2 linked regions of the Yarrowia lipolytica genome follow. The protein of the gene in region 2 purifies or fractionates together with the protein of the main gene of each other region. This does not show direct contact. Links are inferred from orthologs where the notes say so. Each region holds a gene or a part of one and is shown on either strand. Other genes may lie near its edges.

Region 1 (6,091 bases), on a different chromosome or scaffold from region 2:
TGCTGACGAGAACGAGCACTCTATCAACGAGATGCCCCGTCGAGACAAGGGCAAGGCTGTGGTTGACGACGACTCTTCTGACGATGACGAGCTGGAGGAGATTGGGGTCAACCGGTACAAAAACTACCAGCCCAAGGAGGTGCACCATGACGATACTACGTCGGACGTGGTTACTCCCCAGCACGAGATTACTCAGCCTACTTTTGCCCCTGCTGTTGACACTGCTCCTGGTCACTTCCCCGACCAGACTGCTGTTCACGATACTGCCCCTGGTCATTTCCCTGAGCCAGCTGCCGCCCCAGCCTCTTCTCAGGGCTTTGCTGCTCCCACACAAGCATACCCCTCTGCTGCCGAGGAGAAGGCTGCTGCTGCTGCTGCGTCCAACAATGACAAGGAGCTGCCCCCCAACCCACCCACATATGACGAGAGCGAAGGCCCCGGCTCTCCTCATCATGGTGGCTCCACTAACGGCTTCTTCGGTAACCAGCATGCGCCTGCTGCATCTGCTAACGACGACTTTGACGACGCGTTTGCCGATCTTGAGGACACCAACGTGGAGGCCAACAACTCGATGGACCAGTCGCAGTACAGCACCGACTTTAACAATGCGTTTGACGACATGAACCAGGCTCCTGCGCCCGCTAATCCTCCTGGAAACGACGAGTGGGAGCAGATCTTCGCCGGTATGTCTTCCGGCCCTGCTCCAGTCAGTGCTCCCTCTGCTGCTCCCGTTAGAGCATCTTCTCCTCGATCTCGAGCTGTTCAGGAGCTGACCGGAATGGGTTTCTCTGAGGAGAAGGCCAAGCGGGCGCTGCAGAAGCACAAATACAACGTTGCCGAGGCCACTAATTACCTTTTGGACCAGAGCTGATCTCTTTTTATGATGATATGTAAGTAATTCATTAATGTTTAAATGTATTATGTGATTATAAAAAATGCAGTACTTTCACCGTAGCGAGTAGTGATGATGGTGGAATTTACTGTAGACTACAACTACGGTATGTACTCATACAATACTTTAAGTAGCTACCTGTAGCTTCTGGTTGCACGGCATGGACCACATTCTGTGAGACTGTGACCTTTATGGTCAGATAGTCCAATAATGCCGTATCTGCCGCTTCTATGTTACGTTTTGAAGCTGTACGTCATCTGTTGTTGCTAAACGTGGAACAAATAAATAATCTATTAGTACAGTTCACCCCTCCTATAATGCCTTCCAACTTTCGTACAGTTCTGCCCGCTCAGGCATCTCCTGAGTAGCAGCTGTGGCCTTTGAAATATCCGATGTCACCTTGTGCAACTTGTCGAGCGATGTATGGACTTGGTCGTTGTTTTCCTTGATCTTTTGTCGGTATTCATCATTCTCCTTCTTGACTGTCTGTGCCAGCTGTTTGAGCTTTTTGATTCGTGCGAGTTTAGTTTCCCGTAGATGGCTCTTGATGATTTGATCTGGCGTCAGTCTATCGACATGGATAGGCAGATCTGTGTTTGAATTCATTCTGAGTCTGGCGTCTTTGACCAATTGATCCAACTGGGCCAGTTTCTCCGGGAGATGTCGTTCATCGAAGATCGCGTCGAATTCCGTTTGTACTGAGTCCGTCCACGCCTTGCAGATCTGCTTAAGGGCTTCTCTGAGTGCCTCCTGACCAGCAGGAGTCTTTGCAATGCTTGGATAACACGCCGCCACTCGTTTGTAAGTGAGCGACTTGACTGCATGGGCCAGTGCTGTGGACGAGGATGTGACTAAACGTCTGTAACGTGCTGATTGGGGGATTGCACGTGTATTGGCTGTTGTGGTTGTTTGTCCCTCGGTCGCTTTTGTTGTTTGTGTTTCGTTCACTGTTGTTATTCGTCCTTCGCTCGTCGCTTGTGATTCACTGGCTTGTGTCTGCCTCTGTCCCTCCCCTGTGTGTGTCTTCATGGATGTCGCTTCCACTTCAGCTACACTTATCTCCATGGTTTCTGGGTCAGGTGTTGATGTAGACAGTGTCTCGGATTTCTGCGTCTCAGTCTCCTGAACAGATTGTGTCTTTTTCGTGTGTTGTGTCCCGTCTTTTTCCATGTCCATATCCTTCTCCGTGTCTTGTTGTTTTGACGTGTTTTATATCTGCCGCGTTTTATTTACCAGCCTTGCACAATCTGACGCGTTGCATTGAGCGACTTAATGTGCAACCCCACGACTCGAACCCCCAACGCCAAATGCTGTACAGTAGCTTCTTTCATCTCCAACCCAAACCCTGCCCCCGTGCAGTTAGCGTCTGTATGACGTACATACAAACCTCCACACCTAGATCGATCACCCCCATACCACGCAATGTCAGACGTCACCGCTCTCATTGCTAGAGCCGATAAAAAGATGACCTCCTCCGGAGGCATGTTCTCATTCATGAGCGGCGGCTCCTCGACCCGATTCGAAGAAGCAGCAGACCTCTACACCGAGGCCGCAAACCAGTACAAGTTACAGCGTAACGGAAAGCTTGCTGGAGAGTGCTTTGAGAAGGCTGCTGACGCACAACTACAGTCCGAGAGCAAGGACGAGGCCGCCAACTCGCTGCTCGAGGCTTACAAATCATACCGGTCCAACTCACCCCAGGAGGCCGCCAAGTGTCTGGAGAAGGCCATTCAGTTCTTCACTACACGTGGTCAGTTCCGACGAGGTGCCAATTACAAGATGGAGCTGGGAGAGCTGTACGAGAAGGAGCTGGAGGACATTCCCAAGGCCATGGAGGCCTACACAGATGCCGGAGACTGGTTTTCCGAGGACCGAGCAGAGACTCTATCTTCCAAGGCATACCTCAAGGTGGCGGAACTGTCTGCCGAGAACGACGATCTGTTCAAGGCCATTGAAATGTTCGAGATGGTTGCCCGACGAAACCTCAATTCCAACATCATGAAGTGGTCGCTCAAGGAGTATTTGTTCAAGGCTGGCCTGTGTCGAATTGCTGCGGATCCTGTTGCTTGTGGGGGCCCCATCAACGCTTACCTGGAGTGGGATCCTGCCTTTGGCCAGTCCCGAGAGTATGGTCTGCTGGTGGATATTTGTGAGGCTGTCAGCAACCAGAACCCCCAGCTGTTTGCTGATAAGGTGTACGACTTTGACCAATTCAGCAAGCTCGACAAATGGAAGACCAACCTGCTGCTCAAGATCAAGAACGCCATTACCGAGCAGGAGGACGATGAGGGACTGTTGTAGAGGTCCAAATTTAAAGTAATATTATTGTTTATACTGATGGTCGTGTGACAGAGTGAGAGAATACAGGTACTACGCAAGGACACGCAGAAGCGGATTGAACCACACGTTTCAGTCGCTTATTCCAGATCATCGCCATTATATGTCTTGTCAGCTGGTAATATGCCATGCGTGGCTAGGGCTTTCTTTGACCCTTTCATCTCTAAGAGTCCATTGGCGCATCTCAGAGTCCATTGACGCGTCTCAAACATTTTATATTACCAATTGAAACGCTCAAGGTACTCTCATGGTAACTAGGACATGATTATGATCAATCTGATATATTGAAAGTACCCATAACCTTCCTTACAAGTACTTGTAATATATATCCAACTTGTACAGTAGTCTTGTGATTCTGGCTTGAACCAACTTCATATCCCATGAACCGAACCCTACACTCATTAAGATTCTGGCTGCCTCGGCATGAGGGGTCATTGGCGACTCTCAATGTGCTCAAGTGGGTCTTTGGTCGTGTGGCTGGAGGGAAAAAAGGGTTCCGACCCACATCTAGGCGTACATTTACACTTGTACAAGTACAAGTACTGTACTGTACTTGTAGTTAACTGGTCAAAAGTGCGACTTCGTGAAGCTCCGTATTACGATTCCTAAATTGGATATGTATGTTGGAGGCTTGTACATTCTTGTACAGTAGACAGAAGGGGATGACATGAAATAAGGGACAAGAATGTCTAAACCATCATAACCGGACGACCACAAGTAAACCCTACCAAAGACCATCAATAACAGCAGCATATCTTGCAACAGCTCTTGGAAGGTGTGACTTGAGAGTGTCACACCAATTTAACTAAATCTAACTAAATCCCTAACCTACTAATAACTAACGTTAATAAGCACCAGACCTCATTCAAACTCTGTTTCGTATCGGATGAGTCCAACGTTCAGGGACCAAAACAAGCAAATGGGCAGGTGGTGGAAAAGAACGAGATTGGACCCAAATCAGGTCTCCCCAAAAAACAAAAACAAAAAAAACGCCAGCAAAGAAGAGCAATCTAATGTGCATTGACCAACATGAAACACTCCCTGCGCAAATAGTCATCTCACATAAGCCGCACCTGTGACTATTTGGACACTTTCACCTGGTGGCTCATTTTAGCTCTGCAAAATTTCCATATGCATGGTGCAAGCTACTTCTACTCATGCCTAACGTGTAGCTGGGGATTGTACTTGCCAGATGCTCCAGATGGGTCTAAAACTGCCCGCTCCTTCTTCTTACGACAAGTAGATTGCTAGCTCCTGGGAACAACCCGCCGCTCCGACAGCCTACATACACATACGTGGCGGGGGTGCATCGAACCGGGGTAGTACGCAGTTGAGCTGTATCGGGAGAGTCCAGCATATAGGAGAGTAACAACTGCTTCTTCTGGGGGGGAGTGCAAGTGAGGATCTGTCAATAACACATTCCATGACCCTGTTGAAGCATTCCCACTCTCTCTTATGCCCCACTTCTCGTATCTGATCGCCTCTTAAAGTTCAATGTGTTGCCGAGAATCCTTGATTACTGGAAGAGAAGCACTTCAACAGAGCTTAGATCACGTAGGAATCATTGTCTCCACGCATCATGAAAATGACGCGAGTACAGTACTGTACTCGTGTATAAAATTTCCGGATTCCGGCCCTTCTTTCCCACTATCGTACTTGGACCACCGCAAACATATTTTAGTCACAGTGCATGGGCCTCGCTCACCAGCCGACAAGACTGACGCTCCTCCAAAAACATACTCTGAGTCATAGGTCTATCCTTATCTCTGATAGCAGCGAATGGGTGTGGGAGAGTCAAATACCGTTCTAGCTGGAGTCTATAATCAACGAGGCTGACGGGTCCGACTGGTGGATTTCGAGGTGTAGAATCGACTGGCCGGGTAAAAATAATCTCTTCCCCCTTGTAGATGGGTGTATGCACATTTTTTCCCATTGGAAACTGCTGCTCGCTTTTTCCTTCCCCAGGCCCAAGTGTCCCGATTATTCCGTCTGCACGAATTTTAAGCTCGGGGTACAAGTAAAAGATTTTGATTTGGAGAGTTGAAAAAAAAATAAAGGTACTTTAACTTGCACCTCGCACCTTCACACATCACCAACTACCATCCCGACAATGATAGCGCGATCGCTGTTGCGACTGGCCAAGCCGCAATTGCGAGCTGGCATTGCCGTGCGAACCAAATTGACACAGTTCCCCGTGCGAAAATACACAACCACCCCCGAGTATGCCGGAGCTGGAATCCTGTCCCAGGTGGCTGACAAGGAGCTTGTCGATGTCTCCAAGGTTCTGGTCATTGGTTCTGGAGGTCTGTCTATTGGTCAGGCCGGAGAGTTCGATTACTCCGGATCTCAGGCCATCAAGGCTCTTCGAGAGGAGGGCAAGCAGTCCATTCTCATTAACCCCAACATTGCGACCAACCAGACCTCGCATTTCCTTGCCGACGAAATCTACTACCTGCCTGTTACCCCCGAGTACATTATCCACATCATTGAGCGAGAGCAGCCCGACGGAATTCTGCTGACCTTTGGAGGCCAGACCGGACTCAACGTCGGAGTCCAGCTGAACAAGATGGGCGTGTTTGACCGATACAATGTCAAGGTTCTTGGAACCCCCATCAAGACCCTGGAGACCTCCGAGGACCGAGACCTGTTTGCTAAGGCCCTTAGGGAGATTGATATCCCCACCGCCGAGTCCATTGCTGTTGAAAACGTTGACGACGCCCTCAAGGCCGCCGAGTCCGTTGGTTACCCCATTATTGTCCGATCCGCCTACGCCCTTGGAGGTCTGGGTTCCGGTTTTGCTAACAACGAGGACGAGCTCCGAAACCTCGCTGCGCAGTCTCTGTCTCTTGCCCCCCAGATTCT
Region 2 (7,767 bases):
ACAAGGTTTTGCTGTGTTATTCTGCTGGTGCCTCGACCCGGAGGCTGTGTTCCGGAGATTACCTGGGTAGGGGAGCCTGGGTGAAGGAAATATGGTGGTGTGGAGGAGGGAAAAAGACGTGCACGGGGCCGACAAGTGCTCGTGGAAGGTCAAACTCTGGCGTGGACCCTGAACCATGCCCCACAGGCGGAATATCTTAGCCTCTGGCTTGTAGCCACACAGGTGCCGTATCCTCCTTACAGTGAAATCTATATACAGTCGGTGAGAAGGGACATGTATACTACGATACGAGAGCCAAGCTGCAACCGACAATAGCTGATACCAAGCCCATTGCGGCTCTGAAGATGGCAAGATGGCTGTACCTGTCCACAAGGCCGTCCATTCCATGGCACCCTCCATTTAGTCCGAGTAATTCGAGCTTAGCACAGCAAGCTTTGCCTCCACTGGTCAGGTGGAAGAGGGCCTGATAACAGGAGGAAAACAAAAGCTGTTGGGCCAAAGTAAAAGCTCCAAAAGCCATGTCCATCGAATCGACGGGCCCTCGCCACGGCTATAATGACGTACCAAGCCAGCCGGGGACCCTGTCGTCCCGTTGTTGTCCCGTTATTGACCCGCCACTTATTCCCTCATTATCGCCATACTATACAATATAGGATCGTTGGTCGCCCCAGTGCGCCATTTATTAACCCACAGAAAGACACGTCGAAACGGGAAAACCCTCATTTTGGCCGACTGCTCTGCTCCCCAAACCTCTCTTGCCTCTTTCTCCCCCAATCTTTCCTTTTTTCGCCTCAACACACCTTGTGCTGTCTCTGAACCACATCCTCCAAAACACCCTACTGATGTCTGTCTTGGGATTGTCGCCTCGGAGATAAAACCGTAAAAAGTAAAAAATATAAAAATATATATAAAAACACACCTCAACGATACGCGCGGAATGAAATCCAAAGCCAAACAAGACCCATTAACGAGCCTATTATCGAACCCAGTGTTAATAATAGCACCATATAAGACTCCCGGAGCCATTGCTACAGGTACTCGGCCTGCCACGGCCCACCCCCTCCAATCAGCCCTGGCACCACCTGCCAAACGTCTGACAGCGTATTTCTGAAATATCATTTTTTTAGCTGCATGCCCCTGAAACGGAGCCCGATCAAGATCGAACCGACGCGCACTACGGTAGCTACAAGTAGCTAAAGCGACACGCCGCGGGCGGGCGCTGGAAGAGATGCATCACGTGATCAAAACACGCACCCCCAACCTAAACCGGATACACCCATGCAATCTGCAAAATGCGTTGCTCATGTGGAATATGCCTACATGCATATAGCCCGCGTTTTAGAGTTGGGTATGCACCTAGGTACCTGTGAGACATGCATAAAGTTGCATATTGACAGATGTCCACAGCGCTTTGTGCAATAGGGGTTGGAGTATGGTACTTGTAGGAGTAGTCAGTCCGTAGTTGTAGTCATCTCCAGTGGTGTGTTACAACGGGACCGTATTCTTCTCCCGTTTCCGTGCATGTCCCTGCAGCTTCCTCATTGCCAGCAACCAGACGCTGTTGAGTAGCTACATTCTCTGACACTCTAATTTCTCCACCCCTGGACTCATATCATGATCTGCGTTTGATATCTCATTCCCAAACACCGTTGGCTGAGGCGGCGCCCTGGTTTCGGCCACCTCGATCCAAGACCAGTCTCAAACACGCACAATACACGTCATCCTACACCCCTTGTCGTCCACATTCGCCCTGAGCAATGCTAGTGGTACAAGACTTGGCCCCTCCAAGCCATGTCTGGGACCTGTCTGAGCGGGTAAAAATAGCAAAATGTCTCCCGTTTACGTTTCTGGGATGATCCAAAGTCTACGCTAAGAGTAAATAAAGCAATTAAGCGGGCAGTAGGGCGGCGGCGGTGGCTTCGGACCTAGCCCTACTCCCTGGTGCTACTTGCACGTTTGAGCATACCCCATGCACCCCATATCCGCGTTTATCGCTACTTGTACGCTAGTGGCCATGACGTAAACATGTGGAGCGGCCTGCTTCTGGGCCCATTGTCCACGTACGCTTAGATTTCGTTTAGACATAGTCCTTTTTTCCGGCTAAACTAGCGCCTTTCTGCAAGCCTTGGTAGGCAATGGGTCACGCGCCGGGAGAACCATAGCACCAGAGAAACGAGTGTTCGCATTCGCACTCCACCGCCACCCTTGATTACCTTTACGCCGTTTTAATAGCAAGGGTTTAAAGATCCGGGGGAGCTTGGCGGGGAGTTGAGGAAAGGGTGGAAGGAGAGACGTTCATTTACCGCTAGTGATCCATGACGGCTTTTGATGCGGCTCATGGTGACAGTTGTGTTGGAGAGATAGAACGGGTCCGTGGAATACGGGTACCTGTACATGCATCCATATCGTGGATCGCGCTGCTTTTCGAACGTATCGTGGATATCACGTCGCTACTTGCAGTGCCAGCTCACGACCCCGAGTCCATCTTCAAGCATATAGGCTCCTTCGGTGGTTCAGATGGCCCTTCTTCAGATGATCCCCTCAGAGGCTGATGTGGCTGCAGTGTTGTTGCGGACACTGTTGCGGACACTGTTGCCCCGGCTTGATCCCTTTAGAGCTGGTAGACCCCTGTCAAGGGTCAGTCTTAGTGGGACTGGAAGGAGTATCAGTCTCACTGGTTAACTGTACTGGCTAGACCCCGGAAAGGGATGGCTGTGTGCTTGTGGTTCATTGGGTGCGGTGTGGTGTCTACAACTCGTGTTGCCAGACCTGGACAAGGGCATTTGTGAATGTGACGGTACTCGTAGGTTCACCAGAGATGGTGTCGAACGACACATGATGAGAGTGGAAGCTCCTTGGATGCCATCGACATCACGTGAACCTGTCTGATCGTCCATCGCTGGTTTGTAGGACGCGTTTGAAGGTTCCGACTTGACGTTGTTGGTATGATGCACGAGTACAGGCGATTGTAAGGTGGTCGAGCGTGTTTTAATGTACAGGTGGAAGTAATTGTACTTGTATCAGGGCCTCTTGCAGCTCGTCTTGTGTTGTTCGCATCAAATGACACTCGTCTTGTACAGTACAGTCTCCATGACTTGCTCCAGATTATGTATCCAAAACAGGGGTTGTATACTTGCAGAGTACAAGCACAGGCATACGTATGTACAAGCCTCTTTATATCTTTAAGAGTACAAGTAAACGTACTCGCACTTGTACTTGCACCGGCGAGATGTATGGTCGCAGAAAACCTGTCGGCAGCCCTCCGTCCTCCACATACGAACATGACTGACTTGCATCTTTCACCTGTTCAGCAAGTTTCATACTGCACTAGTCCAAATAGGTAAATCACCTTGGCCTCCTATTTGGGACAGGGTAAGGGCGTCCAGAAGAGGACACCAGTGAAATTACATAATACAAGCTGCAGTACTTGTCCGATACGACCTGTCTCGAAACAGCCGTTTGGAGCAGCGCATTTCTTGCCCGATCAATTCCCTGACCACTCTCACTCTTCCCCAACACGGTGCTTTTTCCCCATTCTGGTCACATGACTGACACGCTCCACCTAACCTTATCTCCAAAGACCACGACATACGCATCTCTCCTTCAGAGGAGTTTCGGAAGTCTAGCCCAATGAACAACAGCACTTTGCCCGAGTCGTTTCGAGACAAGCAGATTGGTGAGTATCACGTGACTAACCGACAATGATTCGCTGACTAACACAGCCGCGATCACGCGTGTTCTCTCTGGAGAAAATGGGAGTGCCAACAAAAGCCAGGCTTGGAAGGTGCTGGTCTTCGACAAGTTTGGCCGAGATGTGATTTCGTCGGTGATGCGAGTCAACGACCTGTTCCAGAACGGAGTCACCATCCACATGTTGCTGGATTCCGATCGGTACGCTATTGACGTTCCGGTGGTGTACTTTGTGCGACCTACATCCGACAACCTTCAAAAGATCACGCGAGACCTGCATTCCCAGCTCTACGAATCCGCGTCCGTCAACTTCGTGTCTCCTCTTCCCCGTCAGCTGCTGGAGACCTTTGCAGCCGACAACGTGGCCACAGCCTCTCAGATTACTCAGGTCTACGACCACTACCTCAACTACGTTGTTTCCGAGGCCAACCTCTTCTCTCTGGCCTTGCCTAACATCTACTCTGAGCTGGCATCCCCCAAGATGGACGAGGACTCGCTCAATGCCATCGTCGACCAGATTGTGTCTGGTCTGTTCTCTGTGGTTGTCACCCAGGGTGAAATTCCCATCATTCGATGTCCCAGAGGAAACGCCGCCGAGATGGTCGCCCAGAAACTCGACTCCAAGCTCAGAGACCACGTCAACAACCTCAAACTGACCACCAACCCTCTCTCGCGACCGGTGCTCATGATTCTTGACCGAAACATTGATCTCGCGTCCATGCTCCAGCACTCGTCCAACTACATGGGACTGGTTCACGACGTGTTTGAGTCCGAAAGAGGCCAGATCCGAATCGCCAAAGACAATGGCACCACCGAGTCGTACGATGTGGCGCCCTCCGACTTTTTCTGGAACCAAAACTCGCTTCTTTCTTTCCCCGAGGTGGCGGAGTCTATGGACAATGAAGTCAATAAGTACAAGGAGGAGTACAGCCAGATCACTGGAGGCGCCAACATCAACGATATGGACACAGATGCATCCCCCACGCATCTCAAGAAGGCTATCTCGGCCATCCCCAAACTCACGGCTCGAAAAGCCGTCATCGATATGCATATGAACATTGCCACTGCTCTGGTGGACCGAATCAAGAAGAGACAGCTGGATATTTTGTTTGAGGCCGAGGACGGGCTGGACAAGCAGGCTCTCTTGCCTCTGCTCAAGAACGAAGAGCTGTCTGGCACGGACAAGCTGAGAGCCTATATTTGTGTCTACCTATCCGGCACTCTCTCGGCTGCCGAACAGAAGGAGTACGAGGGTATTCTTAGCACACAGGGAGTGGACATGGCTGCGCTCAACTACGTCAAGCGGCTCAAGGACCTGTCCAAAATGATGGCGCTGAAGTCGTCAGCTGCTTCTGCACAGGAGCCCCAGACGTCGGAGCAATCGTTCCGAAACTTTGCCTCCAAGCTGTCGTCCGGCAAGATTGGCAACCTCATTTCCAACGTCAAGTCGTATCTGCCACAAAACAAGGATATGCCCGTGACCCGAATTGTGTCCGGCATTGTGTCTCCTTCCGAGTCTGGCGACATTACCGACGACTATTTATATTTCGACCCGTCGGTGCGTGGCTCCAGCACAAAGCCGCCCCGAAAACAGGCGTACAACGAGGCCATTGTGTTTGTGGTTGGAGGTGCCAACTACGCTGAGTACGCCAATCTGATGGACTACGGTGTTAAGGCAGGAAAAAAGGTGGTTTACGGAGGAACAGATGTGGTCAAACCCGATGTGTTTTTGGGAGAGCTGGCCTCACTCACCAAGTAGGAGCGCAAGTAGGAGCCAGAGAGATTGGCTAGGGGTTGTACTTTATGCCACTCCTTTGCACGTAATAATGTAATAGAAAGGATATACTATTGGATCTTGCAAGGGTGGATACTTGACCGTATCCCCCTTTACTCAAGAGGCGGATCTGGTTCACCGACCGAGCAAGGACTGTTGTATGTAAGTAGAGCTCCCATGATCACGCACTACTTGTACATTTTTGTACACATAGTTACCTACAGTTCGGCTACATCATAAAAAATACATTATAATGTCTTGCCATAGCCATAACAACAGCAACGGTGGGGGCAATATCAACCATTGTTCTCCGTAACAGCAATATCAACCATTGTTCTCCGTAACATCATTAATTCGGTCCAAACCACCGTTCTCGATGTCGTGCTTAGATGTAGTCTTTTAGCGCCACCCCTAGATGGTAGTCACGGATGTGGAGCAGCGATGGCTTAAGCAAAGATCAACTTGTGCTTGTGGTCTGGGGTTGGGCAAATGGCAAGCTCTGCCCCTAGCTCCAGTGCTAGGCCAAACAGATATCCAAATCCTTCTCTTTCAACACCACATAGTAATCCACATACTTTTCTCCCCCTGCATCTCTCTTCCAGCACTCTTCCACCGTTGAAATGCTATTCAGCAAGTTTCTCGCCTTGTTTCGTGTGGCAAACTCCTTGAACTTGGACAGGTACGCGTGTCTCTGAGAGGGCAGGATGTTAAGACCAGCGATGAACAGGGGGAAGCAAAGATTGCCCTCAACAGCCGAGCCCAACACAAGGTCCAAAAGACACGACAACTTGCGGCCCCAAACACGCATCTCCAGAGAAGTAGAAGGCAGTTTGAAGATGGTTCGTTTGAGATGAATCAAGGCGGTCAGCTGGTAAATTTCAAACAGGTGCTTATGCAAAGTACATTCCTCGTCACTGAGCGTCATAGTATCAGCCAGATTGGGTGTGAGAATACGAATCTGGTGCTCGAGACGCTGGGCAGTCTGCAGAATGTTAGCTTCGGTAGTGAGAGTCGAAGAAGTCATTTCTTCATTGCCACTCAATTCGTTGGCCAATTGAGACACCTCGGCAATCATCTGGTACGGCTCTCTGCAGATTCCCAGTAGTGGGTCGATACCCTGACCTCCCTGAAGCAGCTGTTCGTATTCTGCTCGACCAAAAAGAGGTCCTCGATGGTGAGAGCTACTAGCGACCAGGTCATGATAGGCAAAGTTTGTGGCTATCCAGCGGAGATTTTTGTCATTGAGAAACTTGGACAGACCGCCATAGTTGCGGATTATGGCCGCCGACATGTTGAGAAACTTTTTCCAGTTGCGTAGGTCGCCCTTACACACTTCAGCCGAGCAGCAGAGCAGCAAGGCCGCGATTGTGGAGTGGTCAAAAGTATTGTTTGTGATCTGGTTCTTGGTCAGGGTCACAGCCTTGTCGAGCGCGGCCATCCCTGTATCCTGAAGATCAGCCTTGCCTGAATGGAAAGAAGACCACGCTACAATGCTGTGTAGAACAGCAGCATTATGATGGGCCATGGGAAGAAAAATTTGAACAAAGTGGTTGTCTTGATCGGACGCCACACATATCATTCGCGACAGCTTTTCCTCGTAATACTGCAGCATCTGGTTCTCTTTGGTGCTGAGTCCTCCAAACAGAGAGGGCTCCAGAGACTCCAAGTTGAAGTCTGCGTCTATTTCAAACGGAGAGGGAATTCGAACCAACGAATTAACGTCCAGCTGGTTGATATCATCCTCTGTGAGATCGGTGATATCCACAATTGGGTGATCGACTGCGGGATCCACGTAGTTGGTGAAGTTGTAGGGATGGAAATCAAGCATGGGGACAGGGGCCACATCTGTAGAACCCGCTACAGGCGGTGGCGCATGGTCCACGGGAACAACCACAAACTGCTCGTGCGTGTCTGGCAGACCCTTTCGTTTCTTGTTCTTGTACTCTGTTCCAGGAGCTGGGTACACGCACACGATTCCGAGCCGTTTGCAGCACTCACAAACAGGCCGTGTTTCGTCGCAGCGCTTCTTGCGTTTGCGGCACGTATAGCAGCCGTCTCGGGACCGTTTTCGAGGCGGCTGGGCCGGAGGCGCCGCCGGCACCGGGTCCTTGGGGGCACTCATGGCGAAGGCGGTAAAACGGCGGTAAAACGGCGGTAAAATGGGGATGGAGAAATCGCGCTCGTTCAGCTGCAGACCACCCAGAATCTGACAATGCAAGCACGCTGGCGGTCGCGCGACGGAAGAAAAAGGGCCACTTCGACGCGGGTGAACCTCCAGAAGCTGCTATCTGCGGAGTTGCAAT

What was found.
Region 1: the proteins of YALI1_D25851g (region 2) and YALI1_C32975g purify together in Saccharomyces cerevisiae (affinity purification with mass spectrometry; 4 studies listed by BioGRID, with this or other methods). This does not show direct contact. The link is inferred for Yarrowia lipolytica from reciprocal best matches to the Saccharomyces cerevisiae genes SLY1 and SEC17.

What each region holds. Positions count from the first base shown.
Region 1 is NC_090772.1:3,295,209-3,301,299, forward strand, and holds YALI1_C32975g (uncharacterized protein), read left to right. Parts: upstream 1-2,314; coding exon 2,315-3,193; downstream 3,194-6,091. Other genes in the region: YALI1_C32921g (uncharacterized protein), read left to right, coding at 1-871; YALI1_C32972g (uncharacterized protein), read right to left, coding at 1,205-2,068; YALI1_C33005g (uncharacterized protein), read left to right, coding at 5,340-6,091. UniProt on the Saccharomyces cerevisiae protein: SNARE complex protein that binds to cis-SNARE complexes on membranes and is required for vesicular transport between the endoplasmic reticulum and the Golgi apparatus and for homotypic vacuole fusion.
Region 2 is NC_090773.1:2,581,083-2,588,849, reverse strand, and holds YALI1_D25851g (uncharacterized protein), read left to right. Parts: upstream 1-3,630; coding exon 3,631-3,676; intron 3,677-3,722; coding exon 3,723-5,449; downstream 5,450-7,767. Other genes in the region: YALI1_D25885g (uncharacterized protein), read right to left, coding at 1-399; YALI1_D25877g (uncharacterized protein), read right to left, coding at 619-1,119; YALI1_D25856g (uncharacterized protein), read right to left, coding at 2,810-3,283; YALI1_D25831g (uncharacterized protein), read left to right, coding at 5,642-5,677, 5,744-5,914; YALI1_D25813g (uncharacterized protein), read right to left, coding at 5,982-7,586. UniProt on the Saccharomyces cerevisiae protein: Able to suppress the functional loss of YPT1. SLY1 is essential for cell viability. May interact indirectly, or directly with YPT1.